Linked DNA regions of Arabidopsis thaliana. The protein of the gene in region 1 interacts with the protein of each later gene in a pairwise test. Each region holds a gene or a part of one and is shown in the gene's direction. Other genes may lie near its edges.

Region 1 (5,573 bases):
AGAAGAAAGAAAGATGTGTAGATTTTATCTTTTAAAAATGGACCAAATGATTCTGCTATTTCGAGTGTGAGGAGGTTGTAGAAAACCAATCATATTCGACAAAAAATCAATTAAGAAGAAACCAACCACCAAACCCCATTCATTAATTTCCTTTGCTTGGAAGACAGCTAAATTAACACCAAAGAAGGCTTGTTCAAACTCACAGTTACATTTTTACACGGAACCATCCATATACAAAAAGACACACTTGCCAAAAGCTATACTTAAATTATCAAAGTTTTAGTCATGCACTTTAAACCAAAGTGAATGCGACAGTTACTATAATAATCTTCTGATCAATTTACGTAACTCTTGTAACTGTTCATTGCTCTTATTTAACAAAAAGGTAAACGTATTATATGATTCGGAGTTGCATTACCGACACAAACTGATTAAATATTATAATAATAAGACGATGGAACACAAAATAAACTAATATATGAAAAACATTTTATAAAATTTCAACGTTTTATTTTCCAAATTTTGCAGCGGAATTAGCAGAGGAAACATCTGCGGATTCCGAAGCAGGAAGTGGATTGTGATCTCTGAATTGGGTAGTCAGCAGAAGAGTCGAAGGATGAAAATCTTCGCATGACATTCCTTTCTGTTTGAAACTTGAACAGATCGTACTCATTTTCGTCGATCAACACTCTCTCCGACAGAGATGGTGGTGATGAAGCCGACAGTTTCTTAGCCTTACCATTGTGATCGCCCGATAGCCAGAAGAGCCTTGTCGGGATTAGTGCGAGGATTTTCTTGGTGGACTTTTTGGAACGGCGGCGGATTTGGTCGCCGGAGAAAGAGAAATGAGACGGCGGAGGAGTGAGAGGTGGCAGAGTAGGTAGCTCAGAGGAGGGGTGTTTGGGTGTGCCTGGATGAGATTCCCATTCGAAAGGGACGGCACCGGCGGCTCCGTCGTAGTAGTAGATTCTAAAGGAAGGACAAGCAGCTGATACCGACGAAAAACGTTGTTTGGTCGACGGTAGCTTACCGGAGAAGGTGGCGGTGTCTTGCTTTTTCAGTGAGAGTGAAGCTGCCCGCTCAGATCCCGCGTTTGGCATTATTGTCTTGGGAGAGTGAGAGAGAGAGAGGGAAGGAAAGAGAGGGAGAGATGTGTGCATGAGACATATGGAGTCAATCTATCATGTATATATGGGTGCCTGGTGTCTTTGGTACGGTTTTTACTTTTGGGCTTATTTGTTTGGCTTTGGTGTCTATAGAAACTATATATTAAAAGCAAAATGTAATAATTAATGATAGTGAAATAATAGTTTCAATAGTGCGGTTAATTAGCTCTCATAGTTAGAACTTATAAAGATACATCTCGAAGTGTGTTGGTCCAATCCTACAAAGGCAATAACCACTCGATGGATATATAAAGTCATCACAACTTATTAGACCCTTGAACACTAAGTAATGCTACCGGGTACAAAAGAAAACACTCACATATGAATAATGAGGAGATCTAAATACGTCATACTCAAGGCAAGATATTTGTATCACATGTATATAGCAATTAACGATTCATCCATGAGAATATTTACATTACAAGCCAACATATACATAACTTCAACACAAACATGTCATTGATGAGTAGATTTTATTAAGAAAGGTGTGGTTATTGTAGAAGCATTTATTTGGAGAGTAGATAGGACCATTGATGAAAACAATATGAATTGAATAATTGGTTTTTATCTGATTAAATTGGAAAACAGTGTATGACTAAACGAGCCACGACCCATGCATTCCTACATGTGCTCCACATACCTCCGAGCATTGCTTTCCTTAGTATATACACACTGATAGACCCCATGGTCGGTCCATTCTTTTGCATTAATATCTTTCATGTGATATTCATATACTCGCTCCCCTCATCAGAATTTACATCTCTTCGTTAAAGGTTAAACAAGAAGACATAATTACATTTTCTTCCGTCCATTAAAGAAAAATGAGAGATTTTTTTTTTAAAAAATTGAAGGTCTTTAAAGTATTGAGAACCGTGACCTATTTATAAGGTTTAAAACCAACAACCAAATTTCTCATTTGTTGGGTTGTGAAAGATAATTTGGCGAATATCATACAAATGCGATTAATTACGGTTTAAACATCTCCATTAAGGTATTGACAGTATCAAAATAAGGAGAAGAAAATGGAACAAACAATTTTGTCCAGAGGTGTATAAACTTGGAGTATCATATTCTTATAGCAGATGAAATAAAATACTAGTTAGTTTATTTGTTTGGAAAACAAAATAGGTAATGTGAATATAGATTTTAAAAGTAATTTTGATACTACAGCCCTTTAATTAGATTGAAAATAATAATAATAATAAAGAAAGGACCAATCATATGTTTGACAAAAAAAAGGGCCAATCATATAATTCTGTTACCATGGATCTAAATGAGAGGAGACTCTTGCTTTTTCACAAAAAAAAAGAAAAAGAGAGAGAGAGCAGCAACCCCAGCAGCATCGAAGATCGTCGATCGTCGATCGGTTGCTCTCTTTCATTAATCAGATCTAATTGATACCCAAGCTTCTTCATCGGAGGCCGTGTAAGCTAGCTTCTTCTTCTTCATCTTTTCGTACACTTATTTGATTGTTGTTTATGTATCGATTCTATGGAATAAGAGCTTTTAGCACATATTAATTTGTCCCCAGTCTCGTCGTATATGCAGACCTATTTAGCGCTTATGGTTTGATTTAGATCTGTTTAATTTAGCGTTTCAACCTAAAATTGTTGACAACTCAAAATCGGAATCCCCCAAAAAGTGTCTGTTGACTTATGAATATGGCCATCTCCAAATCGGTTTTTGATCCATCATCATTAAATTTGGTAATATATAGATCTCACGAGGAAACATGGGCGGTAGATTTGGAGTCCTCCTAGTCCTCTTCCTCTTGAGCTGGTCTTGTCATGCTACAAACCCGATTCTTCTCGAACCATTCGGTAAGAACATTTTTGAAGGCATCTAGAGTCTCTCTTGCACCTGTTTCTAATTCAAATTTGTTAAAATCTGTTCACTGGATTATTTGAATACGTTACGTTTTCAGAAAGCATTCAATCTGATATAGACATCCTGATGTATGTTTTTTTTTTTAATTGGGTTTAAGAAGTTTGCTCCATATAATATTTGTGTTGATCTCCTATGTATGATTGTTTCGTTTGCAGAATCAGCTCATGATGACAACCAAGTCTGTGAACTATGTGACAAGTATGTCACGCTAGTCATTGATTACCTTCAAGACTACGACAACCAGAATGAACTCGTTGAGGCCCTTCATATCAGCTGCTCTCAGATTCCTCCTCTCAAAAAACAGGTCTTCATTGAGTCCTTGGTTGTTTTTGCTTTCTCTATTCCTTTTCTCAGACGTGGTTATATGTTAACTATGCCCAACTCATGTGTTTGTTGCAGTGTCTTTCAATGGTAGATCATTACACCCAACTTTTCTTCACACAAGTCTCTACTATCAAATCAGACCAAATCTGCAAACGGCTTAACCTCTGTCAAGCTGTGACACCGGCCTTTGCCTCTCAAGTCCATCAAGGAAACTGCGAGGCTTGCCGCGAGACTGTCTCTGAGGTTGTCACCAAACTCAAGGATCCTGAGACTAAGGTTTGCTCAACCTTCATTCCTTCTATTATCACATACCTATTCTGTGTCGCAAACCTTAGGCTTAGCACTAAGAATTATATCAGTTAGAGATATTTATTATTGCTGCTGAAGATTGACTTTTGCCTTGTGAATGTTGCAGCTGAAGATAATTCGGTTACTTCTCAAGGAATGCAAGTCGCTTAACAATTACCAGGACAAGGTAGCTAACTAATAAAGAATGCCCGCAAAGCTCTCTCTATTTAAGCTGAGTTTTGTGATACTTTTATGGATCATCATCAGATAATAACAATGTGTTTGTTTATGATGGTGAATAGTGCAAGAAGATGGTATTCGAGTACGGGCCTCTGATGCTTACGGATTTGCAGAAGTTTCTGGAGAAGAAAGACGTGTGCACTATCCTCCACGTCTGTCCAGGTCCAGCCACCCACCGTGACTACGTTCCTGCGGTGGAGTCATTGGCAGATTCGTAAATTCGGCCACCTTGGTTTTGTCGTCATTCACACTAATACCATGCCATGATCGTGATGCTAATTTAATTTGGTAACCCGGTGGTCATGTAAATACTGATTGATATATTAAAAACATAACTACACGATTGATGATTCTTGTGTGATTTGAAAAGAACGCTGTCTAAAGGCCCATTGTCCATCGATGGGCCTTTTTGCTAATTTCTACATTGCCCATGTTGTGTAGTCTGATTTTCGCTAAAACGTTACGTTGATGCGTGTACTCAATCACTCGCCCACCATTTTCTTCTGTGAAACAGTTGGCAAAAGTTAGGGGCCGCCAAGCTGGTTTAAACTGACCCACAAGCGAATAAATGTCAGACACGTGTAAAGGACAAAGAGAGCAAGTGTCACCGTATCTATAAAAGCTAACATTAGAGGATATTCTTGCTTACGTGTGACATCGTCACTGGTACATATCATCTAAAGGAATCTTTGATCAACACTACTCTGGAAAACAAATTGTATACTATTTATAAATCTGTTGACTGTATGTATATTCAGAATTATGTGATTGATTGACTAAAAGCGACTGATTTTTAACCTTTTATAATACAAACAGAACAGTGTACATATCCAATGTAGTGAAACAAATCCTTTTATTGGGAAATAAAATTAATTTTGTAAATGAAAATTTCGTTAAAACAAACCTTAATGCTTATCGTATATTTATTTAGCTTGAAAACTAAAGAAAAGATGTAAAAAAAAAAGAACTAAGTTTGGTTAGTGTGTGTAATGACGATGAAAGATGATGAGAAGTGATAACTTATTTTAAGGGCTAAGAACAACAACAAAGTTGATTATTAGAAGAAAGAAATAATTAAAAAGCAAATTGCAAACAGCGAAAAGAGAGATGATGACAAAAAATGGTTAGTAACGGCCAAAAGGTAAACAGGTTGGCTGCTCTTTGTTTCCATTAAAATTAGTAAAAATTCCGAGAATGGCATTTTCGCAATTCATAGATATCATCAACTTGTGTGTTTGTTGGCCGATTATAATATAAAGGAAGGGAAACTCTTCTTCTCTTTCTTCTCATTTTCTCTCAATTCCTCGCAGCTGAAGCTATTTGGCATATACTTGTCTTCGCTTTTCGTAGCTCTTTCGCGCATAATAATAACTGAGGTAATTGTTCGATTCTGGTTCGCAGCGGATTTTGTCGATGCTATTGAGGAATCTAGATTTCTGTGATGGATAGATATAAGACATATCTTATGTCTCTGTTCCGATTCGATCTGTTTGTTTCGTTCCTAGTTCGATCTACTTAGATTTCGTCCCATGTTTATAGCTCTCAATCGCTTTGAATCTTGTCTTTAGTGTTCGATTTTCTGGTGTTTAATTAGGAGCAAACTAGATAGGCCTTCTTTGTTGATCCTGTCATTAATGGTTTGCTCTCTATGTTTCAGGTTGTTGTTTA
Region 2 (6,965 bases), 2.0 Mb from region 1:
GTCTGCAACCATTGGAGATGAAGTCGATATCTGTGCCGTTTGCCTGGAAAGAACATGCACAGTTGCTGCTGAAGGTTCGGTCTAAATTGTTGTCATATCCTTTGAGAGATGTTTATTAGTGTCCTTTGAAAAAACCGGGTTTTGTGTTTCAGGTTGTGAGCATCAGCTATGTGTGAGATGTGCGTTATACCTTTGCTCTTCAAGCAATGTTCCCTCGGTGACAGTTGGCCCGCCCGGATCAATTCCTTGCCCTCTTTGTCGACATGGAATTACAGCGTTTAAACGACTCCCAAGCTCCCTGACAAGAGAAATGAAGTTACCCATGTCACTCGGGTTCTGTGCACCATGTATGCTTCACACGGGAGACACAACAGATCAATCATCACCGACATGCCCACCAACAGAACAACGCAGCAGCAAGACCCGTGCAGCCTCGGTTTCATCTGATATATTCTGTCCGGTAACATGCAGCCCATTCCCTTCAGTAAACATTCCAATGTGCACCTGCAACGAAGGGACATGTCCAAACTTTGAGACACATGGAACAGAGAGACATAGCGAAGAACACGTCGAATCTTCTCCTTCTCGAACAACAACTGAACAGGAGAAGATAGAAGAAGGGCAAAGACTTGGGAAAACAACAACTTGTTCAAGTATGTTCTGGGGAAGAAGAAGCTGTAGCAGAGAGAACCAATGCAACTCCGAGATCAATGCTTGATCATAAACATATTATTTGTATGTACAGAGAAAGAAAGAGGAGAATCTATATGTCTCCCATCATTTCTTACTTTTAAAATGGGGATGAGCCACAACACAGAGAGTCTTCTTGTTAGGTTTGTAACGTTTGTTTTTGACTTTGGAGAGGCTCAAGTTATTAATTATGGATGATGATTTGTAATTGTCAACATAATGATGGGGTCATTTTGCAAAATCTTTCTATTTTTATTAGTTGGACCCATTTGTTATAGTACATAGATGAAAATATTGAGACTTTCTTATAATTTTCAACCCAAGAACTAGAAGAAGTCAAACAAAACTAAAGGTAATAATGAATGATTCTCTATAGCTCTTGATGAGAAAAATCTGACCACACAAAGTCCAAGTCATTTTCTTCCTCTGCAAATAACTTAATACTACTTTTACTCTTATTAGTTCTTGGATCCAAAAGAAAGAAAAAACGAAAAACAAACAAACAAATGAAGCTATCACTCAATTAGTTGGACTCGAACTGGTTTGGTTTCAGTGATGCGCCAATTTCAAAAAGCATTCCCATTTTTGGCTTTGCTACTTCGAAATCTTCATTTGCAGAGCTAGTCTATATGACTTTAAATTTCAATTACATTACCATTTTTTTTATTAACTTATTATTATGTCATGGATCAATAATTCTATATAGTTCAACCTATAATGAATTTATGAGAAAGAGTGGTCCACTAACCTTATAATCAACTATATTCACTTAATTAGGTTTAATAATCTAATGGGGGTAAAGTCTTTATGTGATTAGAAAAATGGAAACAGATCCCAAAGGGAAAAAGCTTAAACATTCCCAAAGGGGAAAGAAGACATGTGGGGGAACTCTGCTCTTTTTTCTCCTCATTTTTTTAATTTACAATGGACCACCACATTCTCTGTTTTCTTAATTTTAACCCCCTTTCTTAATTATCTTCGAAACAAGAAAGCAAAATTAACTTGTATACTATAAAAATTAAGAATAATGACTATACAATTTTGTTCTGTTTTTGTTCGCAATGAAAAAAGCCTGAACATATGTAGTTAGATTAGATAAATCAAAATCTACTGCTATAAAGTAAATGCAAGAATTCCCAAACATAAAACCACCCCCTAAAATGATTAGCTGTAATCTATCTATAATTGGTTTTGATTGAAGCATCTTCGGATATCACATTAAATGAATGAAAATACACAATTAATTTGACCAGCTTTTTAATAAAGAAGCCAAAACAAAAACTCAAAATTACAATTTGACCATACAACTTTCGAATATTTAGAAAACAAACCCCGTCAGCTTTAATCTGGTACACAGTGGTTGGGATTCCTGCAGATTCGAGCCGTACTCTCTCAAGACTCTGACCCATGCCTTCATCCATATATAACTATTCATCATCACAAATGTATATTTAAAAATTCACGCAAACAAAACAAAGCTTGAAAATAAGAAATATTAAATTGCCGTTACGAAGTCTTATTACGTCACGTGAGTTTCGTGCTTCTCTTTCTCTCTCTCTTCTTCTTCTTCTTCATCTTCATCTTCATCTTTATCGCGCCTAAAAAAAAAACCCTTCCTTTTTCTCTTTAATGGCGTGATTTCTCTTCTCTGCTCTTGTAAAAATTGAAACTTTCTCTGTAAAATCGTCTCTTTTAAATCTCCGAGTTTTCTTCCTCCTTCTCTAAAAGAACATGGCGTTTCTTACCGCATTGTTCCTGTTTCTCTTCTTCTCTTTTTCGAGTTCCGCCATTGTTGATCTTAGCTCGGAAACAACTTCTCTCATCTCCTTCAAGCGCTCACTAGAAAACCCATCTCTCCTTTCTTCATGGAACGTTTCGTCTTCCGCGTCTCACTGCGATTGGGTTGGCGTTACGTGTCTGCTTGGACGAGTCAACTCGCTCTCCTTACCGTCTTTGTCTCTGAGAGGCCAGATTCCGAAGGAAATTTCGAGTTTGAAGAACCTTAGAGAGCTTTGTCTTGCCGGAAATCAATTCTCCGGGAAGATTCCGCCTGAGATTTGGAATCTAAAACATCTCCAAACCCTTGACCTCTCAGGAAATTCTCTCACCGGACTTCTCCCGAGGCTACTCAGTGAGTTACCTCAGCTTCTCTACCTCGACCTTAGTGACAACCACTTCTCCGGTTCACTTCCTCCATCGTTCTTCATCAGCTTACCTGCACTGTCTTCTCTTGACGTCTCCAACAACTCTCTCTCCGGCGAAATCCCTCCTGAAATCGGGAAACTGAGTAACCTCTCCAATCTTTACATGGGACTCAACTCATTTTCCGGTCAAATTCCGTCGGAGATTGGTAACATCTCGTTGCTGAAGAACTTTGCTGCACCTTCTTGCTTCTTCAATGGACCGTTACCAAAGGAGATTTCGAAACTGAAACACTTAGCAAAGCTCGACCTTTCTTATAATCCACTCAAGTGTTCCATTCCCAAATCGTTTGGAGAGTTGCATAATCTGAGTATACTAAATCTTGTCTCCGCAGAGCTTATTGGATTGATCCCACCAGAGCTTGGTAATTGTAAAAGCCTCAAGTCACTGATGCTGTCTTTCAATTCTCTCTCTGGACCTTTGCCATTGGAGCTTTCAGAGATTCCTCTGTTGACGTTTTCTGCTGAAAGGAATCAGCTTTCGGGTTCATTGCCTTCATGGATGGGGAAATGGAAGGTACTGGACTCACTTCTGTTAGCTAACAATCGGTTTTCAGGTGAAATCCCTCATGAGATTGAGGATTGTCCAATGTTGAAACATCTCAGTCTAGCTAGCAACTTGTTAAGTGGTTCGATTCCTAGGGAGCTCTGTGGTTCAGGTTCGTTGGAGGCGATTGATCTCTCTGGGAATTTGCTTTCTGGAACAATTGAGGAGGTCTTTGATGGATGTTCCTCTCTTGGAGAGTTGTTACTTACTAATAATCAGATCAATGGCTCTATTCCTGAGGATCTTTGGAAGCTTCCATTGATGGCACTTGACTTGGATTCCAACAACTTCACAGGAGAAATCCCAAAGAGTCTCTGGAAATCAACGAACTTGATGGAGTTTACAGCTTCTTATAATCGTCTAGAAGGTTATTTGCCTGCAGAGATTGGTAATGCAGCTTCACTGAAGCGGTTGGTTCTCAGTGATAATCAGTTAACAGGTGAAATCCCAAGAGAGATTGGAAAACTCACATCTTTGTCTGTCTTGAATCTGAATGCAAACATGTTTCAAGGGAAGATACCAGTTGAGCTCGGTGATTGTACTTCTTTGACTACATTGGATCTAGGCAGCAACAATCTTCAAGGACAGATTCCAGACAAAATCACTGCTCTCGCTCAGCTTCAGTGCCTGGTTCTCTCTTACAACAATCTCTCCGGGTCAATTCCATCAAAACCCTCTGCTTATTTCCATCAGATTGAGATGCCTGATCTCAGCTTTCTTCAGCACCATGGGATATTTGATCTCTCCTACAATAGATTGTCTGGCCCTATACCAGAAGAACTTGGCGAGTGTTTGGTATTGGTAGAGATTTCACTGAGCAACAACCATCTCTCTGGAGAGATTCCAGCTTCACTCTCTCGTTTGACCAACCTCACAATCCTGGATCTATCTGGAAATGCACTGACTGGATCTATTCCAAAGGAGATGGGCAACTCTCTTAAGTTGCAGGGATTAAACTTGGCGAATAATCAGCTCAATGGCCATATTCCAGAAAGCTTTGGCTTGTTAGGTAGCTTGGTGAAGCTAAACTTGACTAAGAACAAGCTTGATGGACCGGTTCCTGCTTCTCTTGGGAACTTGAAAGAGCTTACACACATGGACTTGAGCTTTAACAACCTAAGTGGCGAGCTTTCATCAGAACTGTCTACAATGGAAAAACTTGTCGGCCTCTACATTGAGCAGAATAAGTTCACCGGGGAAATACCTTCAGAACTTGGTAATCTTACGCAGCTGGAGTACCTTGATGTTTCTGAGAACTTGTTATCTGGAGAGATACCAACAAAGATCTGTGGATTGCCCAATCTGGAGTTCTTGAATCTAGCCAAGAACAATCTGCGAGGAGAGGTGCCGAGTGATGGTGTTTGTCAGGATCCTTCCAAGGCATTGCTTTCAGGGAACAAAGAGTTGTGTGGCAGAGTGGTTGGATCAGATTGCAAGATCGAGGGAACTAAGTTGAGGAGTGCTTGGGGGATTGCAGGACTCATGCTTGGCTTTACGATCATCGTTTTTGTGTTTGTTTTCTCTCTGCGCAGATGGGCTATGACAAAGAGAGTGAAGCAAAGAGATGATCCAGAGCGAATGGAGGAAAGCAGATTGAAAGGGTTTGTTGATCAGAACCTGTATTTCTTAAGTGGAAGCAGATCAAGGGAGCCTTTAAGCATCAATATAGCAATGTTCGAGCAGCCGCTTCTGAAGGTGCGTTTAGGAGATATTGTCGAGGCTACAGATCATTTCTCTAAGAAGAACATTATAGGAGACGGTGGTTTTGGGACGGTTTACAAAGCTTGTTTACCAGGTGAGAAAACAGTAGCGGTGAAGAAGCTAAGTGAAGCCAAAACGCAGGGAAACCGAGAATTCATGGCAGAGATGGAGACTCTAGGGAAAGTGAAGCATCCGAATCTTGTGTCTTTGCTTGGATATTGCTCTTTCAGTGAAGAGAAGCTTCTGGTATATGAGTATATGGTAAATGGAAGCTTAGATCACTGGTTAAGGAACCAAACTGGGATGCTAGAGGTTCTGGACTGGTCAAAACGCCTCAAAATCGCAGTTGGAGCTGCAAGAGGTCTAGCTTTCCTACATCACGGTTTCATCCCTCACATTATACACAGGGACATCAAAGCGAGCAACATTCTGTTAGATGGTGATTTTGAACCAAAGGTGGCGGATTTTGGGCTAGCAAGACTAATTAGTGCCTGTGAATCCCATGTTAGTACAGTCATAGCAGGGACTTTCGGGTATATCCCACCGGAGTATGGTCAGAGTGCCCGAGCCACAACCAAAGGAGATGTCTATAGCTTTGGCGTGATACTATTGGAGCTTGTCACAGGGAAAGAGCCAACCGGTCCAGACTTTAAGGAGAGTGAAGGAGGGAACTTGGTTGGTTGGGCGATTCAGAAGATCAACCAAGGGAAAGCTGTGGATGTTATTGATCCACTGCTCGTATCTGTGGCTTTGAAGAACTCTCAGCTTCGTCTGCTTCAGATAGCTATGCTTTGTCTTGCTGAAACGCCAGCTAAGCGCCCTAACATGCTTGATGTGTTGAAGGCTCTTAAGGAGATATGAGCCATATAACCTTAAATGTTGTAGTTGTTTCTTGTTGTTTAAGTAAACTGCTAGTACTAACCAAACAAGGGAGTGGTAGGGTTTGTATTTGTAATGTTAATGTAAGTGTTCTTCAGTTTCTTCTAAATGTCGAACAAAGAAAAATAGGTATTCCAATTTCCAATTAATTGCACTTAATTTATGATCAGGTGTGAAATAAACTGATGTTATACCAAACCAAAGAAAAAAGTTTATAACCCAAAGATAAAACTTTAAAACCAAATATGCAATGTTTTCATCGGTACTGCTAAATAAATTTGGTTTCAATTTTTTTTCATTTTTTCTGAGTTCAATTCGAGAAAATCATAAAAATAATATATGGATACCTAAGAAAACCAAACATTTTTTATATGGACCTAGCTCGGGAAGTTATTAAAGCACATGCGGTGGTAGGAGTGTCTCGGAGATTAGTGGGCAGAGAAGATAGACTAATCTCATGGAGTAGACCAAGTGAAGGTTGGTGCACGCTGAATACAGACGGAGCGTCAAGAGGCAATCCCGGATTAGCGGCGGCAGGAGGGGTCTTACAGGAGAGCAATGGGGAATGGCGCAGAGGGTTTGCAATTAATATCGGGATATGCTCAACACCTCTTGCTGAGTTATGGGGTGTATACTACGGGTTATTCATGGCCTGGGAGTGTAAAGTATCCCGATTAGAGTTAGAGGTGGACTCGGAGGTTGTTGTTGGGTTTCTTCGGACAGGGATAAGTGAATCTCACCCGCTGTCCTTCCTAATACGCATGTGCTATGGCTTTATATCAAAGGACTAGATAGTCCGGATTTCTCACAAGTATAGGGAAACTAATAGTCTAGCGGATGAGTTAGCGAACTATGCATTTTCTTTACCTCTTGGTTTTCAGTTTTTTTATGTTTGTCCGGATGCTGTTTATTCGGTTATGTTGGAAGACCGGAACGGAATGTCGTTT

The links. Proteins that work in one complex are often made in the same cells at the same time.
Region 2: the proteins of AT5G01800 (region 1) and EMS1 interact in a protein complementation assay, tested with the Arabidopsis thaliana proteins (one large-scale study listed by BioGRID).

What each region holds. Positions count from the first base shown.
Region 1 is NC_003076.8:304,524-310,096, forward strand, and holds AT5G01800 (saposin B domain-containing protein), read left to right. Parts: upstream 1-2,415; 5' UTR 2,416-2,591; intron 2,592-2,883; 5' UTR 2,884-2,898; coding exon 2,899-2,986; intron 2,987-3,208; coding exon 3,209-3,357; intron 3,358-3,452; coding exon 3,453-3,653; intron 3,654-3,792; coding exon 3,793-3,852; intron 3,853-3,967; coding exon 3,968-4,123; 3' UTR 4,124-4,766; downstream 4,767-5,573. Other genes in the region: AT5G01790 (uncharacterized protein), read right to left, coding at 534-1,160.
Region 2 is NC_003076.8:2,282,667-2,289,631, forward strand, and holds EMS1 (Leucine-rich repeat transmembrane protein kinase), read left to right. Parts: upstream 1-2,163; 5' UTR 2,164-2,421; coding exon 2,422-6,000; 3' UTR 6,001-6,189; downstream 6,190-6,965. Other genes in the region: XBAT33 (uncharacterized protein), read left to right, coding at 1-74, 153-718. UniProt on the Arabidopsis thaliana protein: Receptor with a serine/threonine-protein kinase activity required for the specification of the correct number of male archesporial initials and for the subsequent specification of tapetal and middle cell layer identities.